Linked DNA regions of Arabidopsis thaliana. The protein of the gene in region 1 interacts with the protein of each later gene in a pairwise test. Each region holds a gene or a part of one and is shown in the gene's direction. Other genes may lie near its edges. The genes, in order: UMAMIT25, NRAMP2, WNK3 and AT3G52070.

Region 1 (5,690 bases):
AATAAATTGTAATAATGGTAAGCCTTAAGTGTGTGGGCCTTATTTCTCTTATTTTAAGCTATAGTGTGTGAGTGTGATTCTTTAGTGAATTTAAAAACAAAGCCTAAGACTTTGTATGTTGGTGGTTGACAGTGACAGACACATAACTCAAGCTTACTGTTGGCTCCAGCTCCAATGTAGATGCTAATTGTTCATACATAAATATGCATATGCATCCTAAAGTATATATCCAAAACGAATGTACAATGGAATTTTCCTTTTGTACGTAACAACGAAAAGATAAGATCGAAAAAATATGCGGCGAAAATTTACGTTGGAACTTGGAAGCCAAAGAGGACGCGGAAATTAATCATCTGGACGCCAACGCTAGCTTGTTTGACTTATGCAAATGGAGCATTACTCATAATTTATTCATCTTCAACTCCAAAAGCATTTCGTATAAAAATTAACCACTGATATCCAGCAAAATGTTAAGCATCACTTACTTTCTCAAATTTCAGCCAACAAAAAAGTTTAACGTGTTTGGTATACCTATGTGCTGACTACAGACCAATGTTTTATCTCTATCCATATGAAATGACATTCTTGCTCAAGGAAGTCACTGTACACCTAAGGAAAGGCCTTTTAAGAATAAATGAGGCCTTTTAAGACCAATAATTGGCCCAACAATATATGTTGTTTTGTATATGAGATTTTCTTATATTATACAAGTTTTCATTATGCATTTTACTTTAGTTTACTAAAGTTTTATATATAAATCATTATGTTTCAGTATAGTTTTTAATTAAAAATTAATTAGTTTTCTGAAAATTATACTAGCCACTCTAGTTATATCCTACTTTTTAATGATATAAATTCCAGTTATTTTCAAAGATATTCTTAAATTACGTATGTCCAACCCATTGTGTAAATGATTACCTAGTTCATACATTAAAAATATATAGTATATATACAGTATGCAGTCGAACTGAAACATGTAATAATATAATCATGAATTTAATTATATATTAAATTTTAGAAATAATTAGATGCATACATTTTGCGGATACTTACCTAGTTATATTTATATTGCATAAGATGCATGCCATTCAATATATATTCGATAATCCATGCCCAACTTCCAACCCTTTTGGGATATAAATAGTTAATTTACCATTTATGATATATATTACACACACAAAAGTTTGACAAAAAGCAAGAGTGATATAATGAAAATCAATTCAAAATACGTAAGATAATACTAATTCGATATTGTTAATCAAGCGATAAACCAAGCCCTTGGTTTAATATCACAGAAACGAGTTTTAGCAAAGGCAAATTGATTGCTTGAAGCTTGAGAAAGACATTCACAAGCTCCACCAAACCCATGAAAAAACGGAAACCAAAAAAATGGATTAAAACGAGGAAAATAAGTTAGATTTTTTTTTGACAAAACGCCAATTTGGATTGTATTAGTAATCAGCAAGGAGAAAATTTAAATAAATTGCCAAAAATATCAAATGATTCATATCACCTATTGTTTCGTGTTCTTATGCCCTAAAGAGAGTCCAAGTGTTACAAGCAAACTTCATTCTCGAACCGTTTCTCACCTTTCTGTTTAAAACATCTCTCTCTATATATATGTATGTATATAAATAAATATATGTATGTGCATGTATATATAAATGTGTGTATATATACATCTTTGGCTATAAATATAAGGTCGAACCAAAATAAAATATAGATTTGGGGAAACTAATAAATGATATAGAGAATCCACCTCTCTCCCTTATTTTTTTTTCTTGGTTTCTTGACCTATTATTATTGATTAGTAATAGTGAGAGAGGCATATTTTGGAGATACACATAAACACATAAATTGGAAGAATAAAATAAAAGAGAGTGAGAGATGGCTAAATCAGATATGTTGCCGTTCTTGGCGATGGTGTTGGTGCAAATCGGCTACGCAGGCATGAACATTACGTCGAAGATGGCTATGGAGGCCGGTATGAAGCCACTCATCCTGGTCGCTTATCGTCAGATATTTGCCACTATCGCCACTTTTCCGGTCGCATTTTTTCTCGAACGGTAAAAAAAAAACCATACTAATATCTGCCCATATACATCTTATTTGATCAACTAACGATTTTAGACATGTATGAATTACACGATTAAAACAATTGCATCGATGAAATGTTGAATTTGTTTTAATTCTTGAATAAAGCATATGGGTGTTTTTATTACTTTTTTGGGGTTAAAAGTAATTAGGTTTTAGGTGGTGAGTCTATGTTTTACAAAGATCAGCAAGAAATGCTAAACTTTGATTAGCTAAATTTTTCTTTTAGCATTGTTTTTTTGTGTTTTCAAGTTTGTCTTAACTGCGAAAGTAGAAAATGATGAAATCATATTCATCAACATAAACGTCAAAATGGTGAGTGCGTATATTAAAATATTAACGACGAAAAACCATTTACTAAATGGCTTTGTGAGTCTCATGTAGAACGTTTTTACGTCTTTGAACTTTCTTGCGTCACCTAAATTTATTACTTTCCAAAAGTTTCAAAAATCAAGCTTTTTAATTTATTGACATAGAAGTACTGCATGCTTAAAGTCTTTTTTTTTTGTGGTCAAGATTTTTTTTGATATATGTTAATAACTTAATTCATCAGTACTATACGTTGAATAGATTTAAATTCATTAATTTACTTCTTATTATTTTACAATTTTGGCAACAAATGAACCTCCATTTAGAAGACTAAAAATTAAAAACACTAAACTAATAATTAAGAAAAAAAGTTTAGCACGACATCGTCTTATTTTCCGGAGATTACGATAGAATACGCATATAATGGTATATGGTAAGCTATAAGTTTCTTGATGAATAATATTAATTCAGAATGTGAAGAAAAATGTGGTAAAGAAAAAAAAGACAAAAAAGTGGTAAAGTGACGCTGATTAATTAGTTGAAATGTAGTAGACACTAGCTTTTTTCTTTTGTTTATTGGGATTAGTATTTACCGTTATTTTTTCATAATCATGGTACCGTCAATGATTTTGGTGGTATGTGGAAACCTAAGTAGTTACATTATCATTAATTCCGTTTTCCGAGAGAGAAACAAATGAGAAATGTGACGCAGTCTCACACAATCCACGCGTCACGTTTCTTTCTTAAACCGAAGCACATGATGACAAACAAATCATGATGCCAGGTGAGTTAAGCGTCGTCAGGTGCCGTGCCATCTTCATTTGCCAAGACACGTGCTTCTTCAATTACGTTTTTTACTCTGTTTCTCCACTCTAATCTCTTCATATGATATGAGAAGTGAATTTGATTGTTTTCTTGAGTCTCGGTTTAACTTAACCGGGTGGTTTTAGGATTAGTTGCATGATTACATTCAATGAGAAATGCTTTAATTGATTAATAATGATTAGTGGACTAATGAAAACATAAATTTTTCATACACGGTTTCTTGTGCAGGAAGACAAGACCGAAGATCACACTTAGGATTCTTGTCCAAGTCTTCTTCTGCTCCATTACTGGGTATCTTACATACACTTTACCTACTAATTGCAATCTTACTTTGTTATAAAGCGATTTACATTGATTTTCTTTGCAGTGCGACTGGAAACCAAGTGCTATATTTCGTAGGACTTCAGAATTCATCTCCGACCATTGCTTGTGCCTTAACTAATCTCTTACCAGCGGTCACTTTCCTCCTCGCCGCAATATTCAGGTTATATGAAATTAATCTTAATTAAGTTTCCTTCAGACAATACTCGTTTATGATTATTGCTTAACACAAGACTTTTTTCTTTTCAGACAAGAAACCGTGGGGATCAAGAAGGCATCAGGACAAGCCAAAGTGATAGGGACGCTAGTATGTGTGATCGGAGCCATGGTTCTCTCCTTCTACCATGGTCACACCATCGGCATTGGAGAATCCAAGATCCATTGGGCCTACGCTGAAAACATCACGAAACATGGTTCCAGTTCTGGCCATTCTAATTTCTTCTTGGGACCTTTTCTTATTATGGCTGCTGCCGTTTCTTGGGCCGCTTGGTTCATTATCCAGGTAACTTAATTACTTAATTAAAAAAAAATGTAGCTTCAAACAATTTGAACCCACATAATGGAAAATGAAACTAAATTCTCATTTGGTTATGATAAATATTATTTTGGTTACAGACGAAGATGAGTGAAACATTTGCAGCACCGTACACGAGCACACTACTAATGTGTTTGATGGGAAGTATCCAATGTGGAGCCATTGCTTTGATCTCCGATCATACAATCTCTGATTGGTCTCTCAGCTCTCCTCTCCGCTTCATATCCGCCCTTTATGCCGTAAGTCCACATACATATACTATGATCATTAGATAACAATCTTAAGCTAAAAATATATGACACTAGTATAAAACACGGATCATGCAGGGAGTGGTGGCGTCTGCGTTAGCTTTCTGCCTAATGTCATGGGCTATGCAGAGGAAAGGTCCTCTGTACGTCTCTGTTTTCAGCCCTTTACTTCTCGTAGTTGTCGCCATTTTCAGCTGGGCTCTTCTTGAAGAGAAACTCTACACCGGCACGTATGTTTCTATACATCTTTATCTATCTCTCTGTGTGTTTAAACATTATATAAACGAGATGATGATGATGAATTTATATGATATATGTATATTAGGTTTATGGGATCAGCACTTGTGGTTATTGGTCTCTATGGCGTATTGTGGGGGAAAGACAGAGAGGTGAGTGAGAAGGAAGAAGAAAGGGAGAAGGTGAAACAACAAAACCATAAAGTCAAGAGTGAAAGTAATGAAGATATTGAATCGAGATTACCGGTAGCAAGTAGTGGAAATGGTTCCACAAGGTCTACATCGCCTTAAAATGGTGATTGCTTCTTCATCATATATAAGTATGAGCTATGGAAGAACCTTTTGGGATTTCTTGTTATCTAAGTTACTGCAACTAAATTGGATTTTCGGAGTGTTTAATTTTGTATCCCATTTTGAGGCTAATGATGGAGTGTTGATTTGTGTGTTCATCCTATGGACAACAAATATCACCTGTTTGATCTCTATATATATTCAGTATTCTTAATCTTCATCGTTTCCATTATCTTATTTTCTTTCTAATAACCTATTTCCTTTATCCCCAAAACAAATCAAATCATAGTCTTCAAGTAATTTATTTTATGTTTTGTCAGAGGGTGAAAGTTATTACAGACCTTCAATATTCATTTAGACCCAAAATGTAAAATAGTGCCTTGAAACAGAGGGTTTCGGTTCGTGCAAGTCAATTACAATTGGCTGTAACGGTTTAATCCTGGTTTAGTAACTCAAGTGTTATATACGAATCAAAACAGAGTCGCTGTTCTGTTTTGTTAATCTTCTTCGTCATTCTTGATTACGAGTTGCAAGGTTTATCTCGGTTCATGTACCTGTAATCGATAGATATAGTAGATTTGATACAGAACATGGAGAATCACATGCGATTTAGTTAGACTTAATTGTCAAAGACAAACACTATGGACATTTATTAGTATTATTGACCACCTGATTTTGCCATAAGGTCATAATTCATAGAAGCAAAAACAGAATTAGATCTTACAGAAAAAGATATATTATATTATATCCCAAGTGTTTATTTTTATCCTTATCAAGTTCAGTTCAATTCAACCTCAGCATCAGCATCGCCATTAAAAACATATATGCATA
Region 2 (4,883 bases), about 14 Mb from region 1:
AAAGAGAACAGATCAAAAGACAATATTTACAAACCTCAAGTGTTTTTCAAACAAAACCCACAGCGTCAGCCACAAAAGCCTCCGATATCGCCTAATCTTCTTTCGTGAATAGTAAGAGACAAAAAATGGGTTAGTTGCATGTAAGAAACACAGATAAAGGACGCAATATCTACAAACCTCGTGGGTTATTCAAACAAAGCACATCAATATTTACAAACCTCATGTGTTTTCCAAAAAAGCACAGAAGGATTCCCAAAAAAAAAACAGAGACTTTAGCCGCAAACTCTCGATGGTCGCCTAACTTTCATTCATCAACAGTACACGAAACAAAATTAGGGTTAGTTAACAACGAACCGAACTTTAGATCTAGACACAAGCGATGATTGACATGCAATTAAAGGTATAGGGGAAGAGAAATAAGAAGAGCAACTGTAAATAATCGGAAATCAGTGGTTCTACTTACCCAAATCGTCGGCGAGGGAAGACCAAAAATTAATCCTTCGATTGTCACCGGCGACTGCAACGAGAAGACGATTTGAAAAGGATAATCGGAAACACAATCAATTTCTAGAAACAACTACTACTTGGATCGAAAAGATGAGAGCAACGACGATGAAATTAATCGCCGCCGAGAGAGGTTTTTTCGGTGAGAAAAATTTTTTTTTTTTTTTTTTTTTTTAATTTTAGGGTTATTACTTTGGTCGTGAGACAAACTTGGGCCGAATAATGCAATAGAATTCAAATTTCAAACCCAGAATCATACGCTCCCCAAACAGTGTCTTGTCGCTTTGATGTCTAAGGTTATACATGTAAAATTACATGTGTTTCCGACTTACCCCTGTAGCTCATGGCTATTCTCTTAATTTTTTTTGAATCCATGGCTATTTTATGTAGATACTCATTGAAATATGGTAAAAGAAGGTACAGTAGAAATACTAATTATGTTCATGCTTGAAAGTTGAAACACACAAAAAAAACGAATAACATGTTTTTATGATTTAAATAATGAGTGATGAAAACACACATGAAGGGATTGACAAAAATACTAGTCACTAAATATCCTCATGATACAAAAAAAAAAGAAAAAAAGAAAAATAGTCACTAAATATTCACTTAACTAAAAATCCTCATGATTTGTTCACTTTGGAAAATTCAGCAAAAAAATTTAGTAAGCTTATTGAATGTAAACCAGTAATTTCTGATGAGATTAAAACTGAGTTCTAGTTAAAAGACTTTCGGATGAGGAGGTTAAATTTTCATAATTTGCATCGCATCAAAAAAAAAAAAACATTTTATCAATGGTTGAGTTTCTGCTCATAAATTTTTGGAATGTGAGTAATACAATCATATCAACTATGCTATTCATGAAGCTCTAAAAAACTAATCATGAATCTTATATTGGAAACTCAATAAACTTTTGGTGTGGGATATTTAGTTTCACACATTGTGATCTATAAAAGAGAGGAAGAGATAGATCAAGCAATGGATCTAAAAATGTATAAAACACACACTTTATTCACTACCTTGTATTCAATTAACGTCATTAAAAAGCAAAGCTTTATTCAAATTTGTGACAATACAACTATGGCAACACTACACTAAATACATAATTTCAAAGCAAATTTATAACATAAAGTTTTTCTTCTTTTTTAGGCATTAATATAATAAAGTTGAATCTGGTACCAAAAAGTTACGAAAAAGAAACGCATTAATCTCTTTTTTAAAAAGCATCTGATTAAGTGCCTGCGTCTTCTTCTTCTTTTATCCCTCCAATTCAAAATTCAGGTACGTCGACGACACCACCACCACCACCGACAGAATATTCCGATTTAACCCTCACCGAATATTCCCTCTTCCTCCATGGAAAACGACGTCAAAGAGAATCTCGAAGAAGAGGAAGACCGTCTTCTTCCTCCTCCTCCTCCTTCACAATCTCTCCCATCCACCGATTCCGAATCCGAAGCGGCTTTCGAAACAAACGAAAAGATCCTAATCGTCGATTTCGAATCACCCGACGATCCAACAACCGGAGACACACCACCGCCATTCTCATGGCGGAAGCTCTGGTTATTCACCGGTCCAGGTTTCTTAATGAGTATAGCGTTTTTGGATCCAGGGAATCTAGAAGGAGATCTACAAGCTGGTGCAATCGCTGGCTATTCTCTGTTGTGGCTACTAATGTGGGCAACAGCTATGGGGTTGTTGATTCAGATGTTGTCAGCTAGAGTCGGTGTAGCTACTGGTCGTCATTTAGCTGAGCTTTGTCGTGATGAGTATCCTACTTGGGCTAGGTATGTGCTTTGGTCTATGGCGGAACTTGCTTTGATTGGTGCTGATATTCAAGAGGTTATTGGTAGTGCTATTGCTATTCAGATTCTTAGCCGTGGCTTCTTGCCTCTTTGGGCTGGTGTTGTTATTACTGCTTCCGATTGGTGAGTCCTTTCGATACTCTATTCGTTCTTTAGAGATGTTGGATTCGTAGAATTAGTAGAGACTTGGTTTGGAGAATCTTATGATTCATTCTGAAATTTTAAAACTTTGCGGATCATCTTAGCGGTATTGAGTTTGAGTATGGATCATTCGAACTCACAAATCAGTAGAAACTTGGTTTAGAGATTCATGATTCAATCTGAAGTTGAGAATTTGCTTTTACTTTGGCTGTTTTCTTGTAAAACTTTGCTAAGATGATCCAAACTCACAAATCAGTAGAGAATTGGTTTAACGATTTGTGATCGAATCTGAAATTAAGAAACTTGCTTTTTTGTATTTTGAAAACTTGGCTAATGAATTTGTTGCAAACAGTTTTTTATTTTTGTTTCTAGAGAATTACGGTGTGAGGAAGTTAGAAGCTGTTTTTGCAGTTTTGATCGCAACTATGGGTTTGTCCTTTGCTTGGATGTTTGGTGAAACAAAACCGAGTGGGAAAGAACTTATGATAGGTAAAGATTTCAGATTTTTACTCTTGAATTTCACTTTATTTGCTTTGATTTGAGTGCTTAAAAATCAAATCTTTGTGTTTATGGATAGGTATTTTACTACCGAGACTTAGCTCAAAGACAATTAGGCAAGCTGTAGGTGTTGTTGGCTGTGTTATAATGCCTCACAATGTGTTTTTGCATTCGGCTCTTGTACAATCGAGGAAAATCGATCCGAAGAGGAAATCCCGGGTTCAAGAAGCGCTTAATTACTATTTGATCGAGTCATCCGTCGCACTTTTCATCTCCTTCATGATTAACTTGTTTGTGACTACTGTCTTTGCAAAGGGGTTTTATGGAACTGAGAAAGCTAATAACATTGGCCTAGTTAATGCTGGTCAGTATCTTCAAGAAAAGTTTGGAGGCGGGCTTCTTCCGATTCTTTATATCTGGGGTATCGGGTTGTTAGCAGCCGGACAAAGCAGTACGATAACTGGTACATATGCTGGACAGTTTATAATGGGCGGTTTTCTGAATCTCCGGCTTAAGAAATGGATGAGGGCAGTAATAACAAGAAGCTGTGCTATTGTGCCTACAATGATTGTGGCAATCGTGTTCAATACTTCTGAAGCTTCCTTGGATGTTTTGAATGAATGGCTCAATGTCCTTCAGTCTGTACAAATTCCTTTTGCTCTTCTCCCTCTTCTAACCTTGGTATCCAAAGAAGAAATTATGGGAGACTTCAAGATTGGGCCTATTCTCCAGGTAAATTTCCACTTCTTTTACTACAAGTCTCCATAGGATACCACAATAGGTGAATTAGTGTTGAGTCTTATCGTTTTAGGTGTCTCGACTTTTTTAGTTTCACTGTTTGTGCAATTATCTTAGTAAACATGTAGAATTGAAAGTCCTTCAATGGAATAGAGAAGCATGAAGAGTGAGTATTTGTAAGTTGATTGGATTTATTGATTACATTGCAGAGAATAGCTTGGACTGTGGCTGCACTTGTAATGATCATCAATGGGTATCTTCTGTTGGATTTCTTTGTATCAGAAGTCGACGGGTTTCTGTTTGGAGTTACGGTCTGCGTCTGGACGACTGCTTATATCGCCTTTATAGTGTACCTCATTTCACACAGCAACTTTTTTCCTTCTCCTTGGTCATCCTCTTCCATAGAACTTCCCAAAAGAGTGTCCGTCTCCAATAGCTAGTAGCTGCACAAAAATAACTGCCCTCAAGACCATTTGTTACATGTCAAGAAGATACAGTAAACAAACTTCATCCACTATAGTCTTATACATATTGAAACGCCAAAGTGGTGATAAGAGTTAGCTTAGCTTTTTGTGAATGTTAACATCACAAATATGTAGTGGCAAAGTCTTTGTTGTACTTTTTTGTTTTTGTTAAGAGGATGTGCACATTCCAATATGATTTAAAGAGGCTTTTACATCATAGAAAAAAGCAGAAAACAAATCAATAAAAATCTAATAAACCATTGAAAAAATGGTCAAGCAAAAAAAAAAAAGTTTCTTAACTAGTGTTAGCAAAAATCATTGAACATACGCTAAAAGAGATAATACTCAATACTAATCTGCCATTCTAACAGATATATACAACCCAAAATTCAGGTAACTAACACTTCCAATACATAAGCTTCAAGCTTCTTTTACGCCATTCCTCTAATGGTAATATCTTCAAAGAAAGCAAGAGGTAGCTCCGGTGAAACAGGCATGGTCGCAACGCACTTGTACTGTACCAAGAGAATCAGATATTAGAATGTTCTTGTTGCAATATATCACAAGTTTAAAGTTACATCATTGAATTGTTGAATTTACCTTGTGTTGCTTGTACTTATTTCTAACAGCTTCTAGAGTGTTTCCTCTTCTGCTTAGATACAAGTCATGTATGATACCCACGCACACTTGTAGATCAGCTGCTTTGTACTTTGTGTATTCTTCTAGCATTTGA
Region 3 (5,205 bases), on another chromosome or scaffold:
AAATCTGAATTGGTATCATTCAAAAGTGTGTTTCCTCACCATGACAATTGCCTTTATGCTAACACGGTTGATTTCAAACCCGACGGTCTTATCTCTTTGAATAGCGAGCAATACATCCACAAAATCAGTCATATCTCTGTTTCCATCGACATGATCTTGCACAACTCTCTCAAAGAACTTATCAACATCGTTTGCCGTCTTTTCTAGTTGACAGTCTAAACCGCGGATCCAATCAATCCACGCAAGCCAAGGTACATAACTCCCCACACTAAACGTCCCCAATAGTTTATTTAGTCTCTCCATTAACTCCTTAAAATCCGTTTCACCACCGTATTTCCGTCCCAAAGCAACTTTACATATCACATCGTTAGTTAAACTCACCAAGATCTTGCTTAGATTTACCGGCAAAGAAATCGATTTCCTGATCTTTTCCATCATCAGACTGATCTCTTCTTCTCTCACTTCTCGAAAGGATCGTACCATTTTGTTGCTGAATAGATGGAGGACGCACACACTTTTCATTTGCCTCCAGTACTCTCCATAAGGAGCTGAGGCCACATCATGCTTATCGTAAAGAAGTTTCTCGAAGATTTTTGACCGTGGCCGGCTTGCGAAAACACGGTCATGCGTCTTCAAAACGTCTCTAGCCAATTCAGCTGAAGATACTACAAGAACGGGGACACGGCCAAAGTGAAGAAGCATAAGAGGACCGTACCGGTGGCTGAGAGAGCATAGTGATCGGTGAGGGTGGCGGCCGAGTTGATGAAGGTTTCCGATCAACGGTAGTCCCGGTGGTGACGGAAGTGTGTTTCTTTTCTTCCCTCTCTTCTGTTTTCTGAAAATTATGATGGTAACTACAAAGATTATTGAGCATAACAGAAAGAACATGATCATCATGTCTGGATTCTTCAAGTACATCAAAACGTGTTCTTGTGAAGAGTTTTTATTTGTGGTTTTTTTGGACTTACATATACAAGCCAAGTTTCTTCACGGTAGTACTAGTACGTAATTACTGTCCACTCAATCTTTTGGACTTATGTATTTATGCATGCACCAGTCTTTTAATGTTTAGTTCTTCGAGATTTTTCCTTGTGAAAGTCATTTGGTGCGTTTACGATTTATGTCTTATTTTGGTCGTGTCACCGTTCTAGTCTTTCGGTGCTTCCACGATGTGTCTTACCACCATACAATACAAGTGCCTAGGATAATGGTCTCAGGCTGCCGTCAGCTCTAAGGATTTATATACTCTGGGCCCAATGGGCCTTACAAAAATTTGATGATCATTGTATATAATCGGTTTTTAAACGGCTGAACCGCCAATTCATACTCATCAAAAATACAACGACAACATTGTTCAACAAACAATTCTCCATGAAAATTTAAATGTCCTAATTCGTCTCAAACATTCTGTCTCCAATATGTAAAACATTTATATTTTGAGATATAAGTAGAAGTAATAGATTATAACAAATGATCATAACATTAGTGTAGTGATTTGTGTCAGTACAAGTTTCTATTTAAAGTGTAACAACATTGAATATTTATGTTTCACCAAAAACTATGACTATTATTCTATTAATCCTGAGAGAGAGAGCAAAACCCTTTAGTGAAAAGTTTCCTTAAGTTTAAAAGAACTGAAGCTGAAGTCCAAATTGTTGTTTACACACAGTAAAATCGAATTCGTTACCATGACAAGCGGGTTCAATGGCTAAACATTTTGTAATTTACCAAACCCATTATTCGATTTGTAGGATAGTCAATTATAGGGTTCTTAGTCAGCTAAAACAGTGACTTAAGAGTTAAGAAGGGGAAAAAAAAAGTCCGAATATTTTATATTCACAACACCATGAAGTTGACTGAATAAGCAAAATAATTGATTAGAGTAACATGACAATAAATGAGAAGAAAATCAAATAAAAAACCAGATCCATGGCGCGAAAAAAGCAACGACCCACACCTTTGCCACGTGGTCTTGTCCAGTGGATCTGAGTGTCCTAAATTCGAAGATGAGAAAGAGAGAGAGTGTACAACATTCTACAGTCGACACCATTATGATCAGCAGCTGGAAAAGCTTAAGCTTGGTTTTAATGGCACAAAATCTAAATAATCGATTTATACACAAAAAGACAGCTAAGTAATGATTATTATTATTATCAGAAACTGCTTCAAAACTTGTTCTTCCTTGACTAAATTTCTCTCTTCTCTCAAGAACTCCTATCATCTGTTTTGAATTGCAAGTAACCAAGAATGCGACAAGACGAGAATAACTCCGAGGAAGAATTCGTTGAGATTGATCCCACTGGTCGCTATGGCCGGGTCTGTTCTTCTTTACTTGATTTTAGTGTTACCTTTTTCTCAATTCTAATGTTTTTGTTTCTCATGTTTTCAGTATAAAGAAGTTCTAGGCAAAGGAGCTTTCAAAGAAGTGTATCCTTTTTCTTAGATCTCTGTTATTACTACAGAGACAAATCAGATTAGATTCGGACAAGACACAGTCACTAAAGGGTTTCTTTGATCAGAGAGTTCTTCAGATACAGAGCATTTGACCAACTTGAAGGAATCGAAGTGGCTTGGAACCAAGTTAAGTTAGATGATAAATTCTGTAGCTCAGAGGATTTAGATCGTCTTTACTCTGAAGTTCACTTACTCAAAACCCTTAAACACAAAAGCATCATCAAATTCTACACTTCTTGGATCGATCACCAACACATGACTATCAATCTCATCACCGAAGTCTTCACTTCCGGAAATCTTAGACAGTCAGATTCCTCTCTCAGAAGTCAAATCAAATCTTTTTTATTTGATCAATATTATTCATGTTTGACAAACCCTTATAGGTACCGGAAGAAACATAAGTGTGTTGATCTAAGAGCATTGAAGAAATGGTCAAGGCAGATCTTAGAAGGGCTTGTTTATCTACATAGCCATGATCCTCCTGTGATCCATAGAGATCTTAAATGTGATAACATTTTCATTAATGGGAACCAAGGTGAGGTCAAAATTGGAGATCTAGGGCTAGCCGCGATTCTGCACCGCGCTCGCTCTGCTCATAGCGTCATCGGTGAGATCTTTAATCTTGTTCTCAAACGAAAAAGTTTCTCCATTGTGAAACTATAATTTTGTGTTTGAAATTGTTTAAGGAACTCCTGAATTTATGGCGCCGGAACTCTATGAAGAGGACTATAATGTACTTGTCGATATCTACGCGTTTGGAATGTGTTTGCTTGAGCTGGTAACTTTTGAATACCCGTATTCCGAATGCACAAATGCTGCTCAGATTTATAGGAAAGTTACATCGGTAAGTGATCATATTCCCATCTCATATCCAATCAAGAATGACTTTTTCCATATTGTCGATCCATTTTTCTCAATGCTTCTTAGGGAATCAAACCAGCCGCTCTTTTAAATGTGACTGATCCGCAAGTGAGAGCATTCATAGAGAAGTGTATCGCAAAGGTCTCGCAACGCTTGTCAGCCAAGGAACTACTTGATGATCCTTTTCTGAAATGCTACAAGGAAAATACCGAAAACGTCAGCTCTCACAAAGGTAATATCAGATTATGGTATTTCATTTCATCTCAATATGAAGTGTCATGGACTCCTTTCTTAAAAGTTAAAATCAATAATAGTAACATAAGATAGTTTCTATATTTTTTCTATGTGAAATTTTCTAACACCAAGTTCAATAACATTGTCACAGAAAATGGTTACAACGGAAACGGAATCGTGGATAAACTCTCGGATTCTGAGGTAGGCTTATTAACCGTAGAAGGCCAACGTAAAGACCTCAACACAATCTTCCTAAAACTACGTATCACCGATTCCAAAGGTTCAAAATCTTTTTTGCTTTTTTTATTACAAATCTTCAGATCATTACTAAATCTTCTTTTGACACAATAATAACATTTTTTATACAGGTCAAATCCGCAATATCCACTTCCCATTTAACATAGAGACAGACACATCTTTCTCAGTCGCCATCGAAATGGTCGAAGAACTAGACTTAACCGATGATCAAGACATCTCAACGATAGCTAAAATGATCGACACAGAGATACATTCACACATCCCCGATTGGACCCCTTCTCGACTTATCGGTGATGATTCAGCGGTACAAAAATGTTTGTCTTCTCCAGAGACGCTCCATTTAGATAGATTTCCTTCAGGGAGAAAATTCTGGTCCTCTCCTAAAGCTGGAGCTGGAGACTCACGTTCACCGTTTGCGCCACGGTCTAATTCTAAGTTGTCGTCAGCACAAGGACCGATCAATCAAGAAGTTGGGGTTATAGTAGAGAAACTTGAGTCTTTGTTGAGGAAACAGAGAGAGGAGATTGAAGAGATGCAGAGAGATCAAGAACGTATTGTTACTGAGTTCTTAAAAGAGTTTCCTCCTGAGATTTGTGAAGAGGCTTTGGTGAGATTGCAAGTTAAAGATTCTGATAACTTATTGTGTTAGTACGTTTTTTACATTACACACTCTCGTCAAGATTAATTTGGTTTGCAATATTATGTTGTACTAAAGGTAAGTAAATGTGTAACAAAATTGTGACAGTTATGATTGAAGGAAAACTATTTGTCAAATAATATTTCTTGAATTAGTTAGGTGAAGACGTAACTAGCTCAGAAGAGTCTGGGAGAAGAAAAGAACGCGGTGATGATAGGTCACATCACTGTGTTCTTATTCACTTGATTCTTCTGAGCTAGCCTCGTCCTCTTCACCCAACTCTTATGAACCTTACTCGTCTTCACTGGACTCACTTGCAGAGACTCTAATAAGGTTGTCTTATGATCTATGCTCGCCTCTCATAATCTTAGAAGAAGATATAGAGCGGTTCATATTTTGTTCTCTCTCGCCTATTAGGTTTAATGGGTACTGGTGTTTCTTAAATAGCGTATGCCTCAAGATAATATATTAGGGTTTCATAGATAATAAACCTAATCACCAAAACATTTGGCATAAATGGGCTAAAAGCCCAAAATTTCATAAAACTACCTTAAAACATCTTTATAGGAAAGAAAGCGTTTCAGGGAGTAAGCAAATATAAGCATATGGCAGCGTCAAGGACTCAAGGGATCCAATCAAAACTACAAAGAGCAAATAAATAATCAAAACAAAAACTGAAATAAACTAAATTCTCATACTTGTTCAGGAATTGGTTTCTGATCCGTCGAAGCATGCACTCCCTTGCTCTGCCATGAAGAAAA
Region 4 (3,055 bases), on another chromosome or scaffold:
GGGGGCTCTCTATTTACATTCTTTTTTACATCCATTTTCCCATATCTCTACCTTCCCTAGAGACACACAAAAGCTTAAAAAACACAGCAATTTTCACACACACACACAGAAGTTCATCTTTATTTAGCCACTCTTCTTCGAGCGCCAACACAAGCTTCTTCCTAAACCTTCCTTATGATGATATCTGAAACCTGAACACAATAACAAGAAGATAAGCAAATTGAAACTAAACTCTCAAACTGTATTCATATTTACACATTGAGATTTCAGTGTTATACCTAATTTACTTTCACCGAATTCAATCCCTAAAGATCACAGCATCTGCAATCTCCATAAGCGGTTGCAATGACTCCGGCGTGAATTTTCTGGCGAAGAAATAGTCTAAACTCGAATTAGATCTCCGCAGAGAGTGAATCAGCTGCGGCGAGATCTCAGAGGCATCGTACGTGTGAGGATGACCACCAACACTACCGGTCCAATTAACACGTGTGAGTGTAAAGTGACTACATCCTTGAGGATCCTCAAGAGACAACAAAGTCGGAAAATAATGTTCTTCAGGGTAACAAGATTCAACATCAAGGCATGGTAATTTGAATTTCCTCCATAGCTTTCTCTCTTTGATCACCATTAGAGCATGACGTTTCGCTAATACGAAGAACTGAGATCCAACACGGAAGTCTTGGTACTGGATCTCAGGAAGCATCGCGTCGTCTCCTCTTGCGTTGTATCGTTTCAGAAGGAACGGTTCATCGGAGAGGATCTCGATGAAGCTTTGTTGATGATGATCGGAGAAGAGGTGGTTGTGGATGTAAGAGAAGGAATGGAGAGGGATACAGTGTTGTGAGATTAAAGCGAAATAGAGATTGTTAGGATCGTCGAGGATTGCGTTTGCTAGTAATCGTCGTTCGGCGGAGATTAACGTCGGAGAAGCTCGTGCGGTTCTTCTCGCCGGGATGAACTTAGCGTTGATTGATGAAGAATCGAGAAGAGGAGAGACGGAGGAGGTTGGATCTGCGTGGATGTAAACGTTGTAGAGATCTTGGTGACCTTGGAAGAAGCTTTCCCAGAGAGGTAAGAAGGTTAGATCGGAGTTTGTTAGGAAGAGGAAAGCGATCTTTGGGGGTGGATTTGGAGAGAGGGAGATGAGACGACGGTTGTTGTTGGTGGAGGAAGAGACGACGGCGCGGTGGAAGAGAGAGAGGTCGTCTAGGTCATCGGCGGTGGAAATGAGGGTAGAGGAAGAGAGAAGGATGTGTGGTGAGAGGATGAAGAGGAAGAAGAGAAGAGAAAGAGAGAGGAAGAGAGATAGAGAATAAACGAGTGTAGAAGATGAGAACATCTCTCTGTATACAACAACACAGAATTTCTCTGAGGAAGAAGAAGAAGAAGAAGAAGAAGATTGATTGAAATGAATGAGTTAGAAAAAATTCTGATGTGACAATAAAAAGGAAAAAGGGGAATAATGACGTCAGCAAAATGGGGACACGTGAAATTATTTTTAAAATTATTTGGGACAATCGACACAGTTGCTCTATCGCTATTTGTTTACGTGGGGCTGTTCTCTCTCTATTTATATAATAATGAGATACGGTTTTTTCAGCAACCAGATTTTAAAGTTATCTGATTAAATCTAATAATAGGATAGAGATAGAGTCACAGAGACATGTTGTTGACTTTATGACATTATTTTATTCTTTGCTTATCCACTCAGTCATCATTTATCTCACCAGTCAGACATAATGTGTTGTTGTTGTGAATTTGTAGATGCTTCCGACTATACCTGATTACCTGGCCATTCAGAATCGGTTTGGATCAAAAAATTTGGGTTTTCGGTTTAGAAATCGAAACAAACCGAATTAGTTGAAACGAACCGAATAGAAATTCGGCCAATTTGGTTTTGCATTGGCGTGTACCTTGTGACTACATGTGTGTGTGTTAGATGAGATCTATCCACCCATTTTTCAAATCATTTTTGTCGTTAAGCTATCAAGATTCTGATATTTTCCTGCTCACTTTTGATTCCCAAAACAAAAAACTTTCTTCAATTATTCTATTCATCTTCTCATGGCGGCTCTCTCCACCACCTTCTACTACCACCCACTCTGCACTAACCACCGTACAAAGAGACAAGCCTCAAGCAGACACGGAGTTAGATCTATGAGAGTGATGTCTTGTCGGAAGCAGAAATTACCAGAAGAGAATGAAGGAGTGATCCAGAGAACATTGAGAAGGATGATTTCAGAGGCTGGGAAGATTGGGAAGAATCTGAAGCCAGAGAAGAAGAAAGGAGACGTCAAGGACCTGATGCTTATGAGTCTCTCTTTTGCTGTTTATGTTTATATCTCTCAACTATTGGTTTGTGCTTACTTCTCCTGGCAACATCTCAGCTTCCCCAAATCTTCATGGTAGTAGCTAAGCTAGCTCCTCCTTGTAAATTCTGCACAAATCAGTAATAAGATAAGAAATTCAATTCCGACATAGGAGAATTGAGAGTTGTGATCTTTCACTTTGGTCTTATATAATTGAATTGTTAAGCTTCTCATACCTCTTTATCTGCTTTAACTCCGGCAGAAAAGGCAAACCAACCATTGCGATAACACTATCAACCAGTTAAGGCTCTTTGTTTTAGAGCCGAAAGGAGATGCAAGAGCCTCGGGCAGAGTCGCTGAGTATGCCTTGAAAACCAAAACTTTGACCGTAATTGTTAGAAAGAAAGAGAGATTCCTAACCATTTCGTATTGGCCTCCTCCAATTTATCCTCCTTAAACAGAGAGCCCCATCCATTTTCCTTCTGTGTGCTGCACCAAACCTTTCCTCCATAGTCATATCACTGCGAGCTTTTCCCTGTACAATCCAACCTCTAAGTCAGCTATAAGCAAAGAGCTTGGGATAAAAGCTTGGTTGTGGAGTGTTCAGGTAAGGAAACAAGAATCAGCAAATGATCTTAAAGAAAAAACGTTCCTCCTTTGTTTCATCAAATCCAACAACTTCAGCGTCATCTAACAATTCCGCTATAGATGGAACATTGGGAAAAAGAAGAGTTTCCATCTCTCCT

Evidence for each region.
Region 2: the proteins of UMAMIT25 (region 1) and NRAMP2 interact in a protein complementation assay, tested with the Arabidopsis thaliana proteins (one large-scale study listed by BioGRID).
Region 3: the proteins of UMAMIT25 (region 1) and WNK3 interact in a protein complementation assay, tested with the Arabidopsis thaliana proteins (one large-scale study listed by BioGRID).
Region 4: the proteins of UMAMIT25 (region 1) and AT3G52070 interact in a protein complementation assay, tested with the Arabidopsis thaliana proteins (one large-scale study listed by BioGRID).

The regions. Positions count from the first base shown.
Region 1 is NC_003070.9:3,025,520-3,031,209, reverse strand, and holds UMAMIT25 (nodulin MtN21 /EamA-like transporter family protein), read left to right. Parts: upstream 1-1,660; 5' UTR 1,661-1,887; coding exon 1,888-2,066; intron 2,067-3,456; coding exon 3,457-3,519; intron 3,520-3,595; coding exon 3,596-3,712; intron 3,713-3,798; coding exon 3,799-4,051; intron 4,052-4,164; coding exon 4,165-4,323; intron 4,324-4,410; coding exon 4,411-4,562; intron 4,563-4,657; coding exon 4,658-4,859; 3' UTR 4,860-5,148; downstream 5,149-5,690.
Region 2 is NC_003070.9:17,308,286-17,313,168, reverse strand, and holds NRAMP2 (NRAMP metal ion transporter 2), read left to right. Parts: upstream 1-1,663; 5' UTR 1,664-1,860; coding exon 1,861-2,432; intron 2,433-2,802; coding exon 2,803-2,939; intron 2,940-3,027; coding exon 3,028-3,680; intron 3,681-3,895; coding exon 3,896-4,126; 3' UTR 4,127-4,366; downstream 4,367-4,883. Other genes in the region: CYCA3;4 (CYCLIN A3;4), read right to left, coding at 4,582-4,665, 4,751-4,883. UniProt on the Arabidopsis thaliana protein: Seems to be involved in iron uptake.
Region 3 is NC_003074.8:17,872,263-17,877,467, reverse strand, and holds WNK3 (with no lysine (K) kinase 3), read left to right. Parts: upstream 1-1,937; 5' UTR 1,938-2,247; coding exon 2,248-2,316; intron 2,317-2,389; coding exon 2,390-2,427; exon of another isoform or gene 2,428-2,531; coding exon 2,532-2,759; intron 2,760-2,837; coding exon 2,838-3,061; intron 3,062-3,140; coding exon 3,141-3,298; intron 3,299-3,381; coding exon 3,382-3,547; intron 3,548-3,700; coding exon 3,701-3,829; intron 3,830-3,917; coding exon 3,918-4,456; 3' UTR 4,457-4,648; downstream 4,649-5,205. Other genes in the region: CYP71A26 (cytochrome P450, family 71, subfamily A, polypeptide 26), read right to left, coding at 40-897. UniProt on the Arabidopsis thaliana protein: May regulate flowering time by modulating the photoperiod pathway.
Region 4 is NC_003074.8:19,310,689-19,313,743, forward strand, and holds AT3G52070 (RNA/RNP complex-1-interacting phosphatase), read left to right. Parts: upstream 1-2,029; 5' UTR 2,030-2,064; coding exon 2,065-2,409; 3' UTR 2,410-2,536; downstream 2,537-3,055. Other genes in the region: AT3G52060 (core-2/I-branching beta-1,6-N-acetylglucosaminyltransferase family protein), read right to left, coding at 299-1,339; AT3G52075 (uncharacterized protein), read right to left, coding at 2,559-2,732.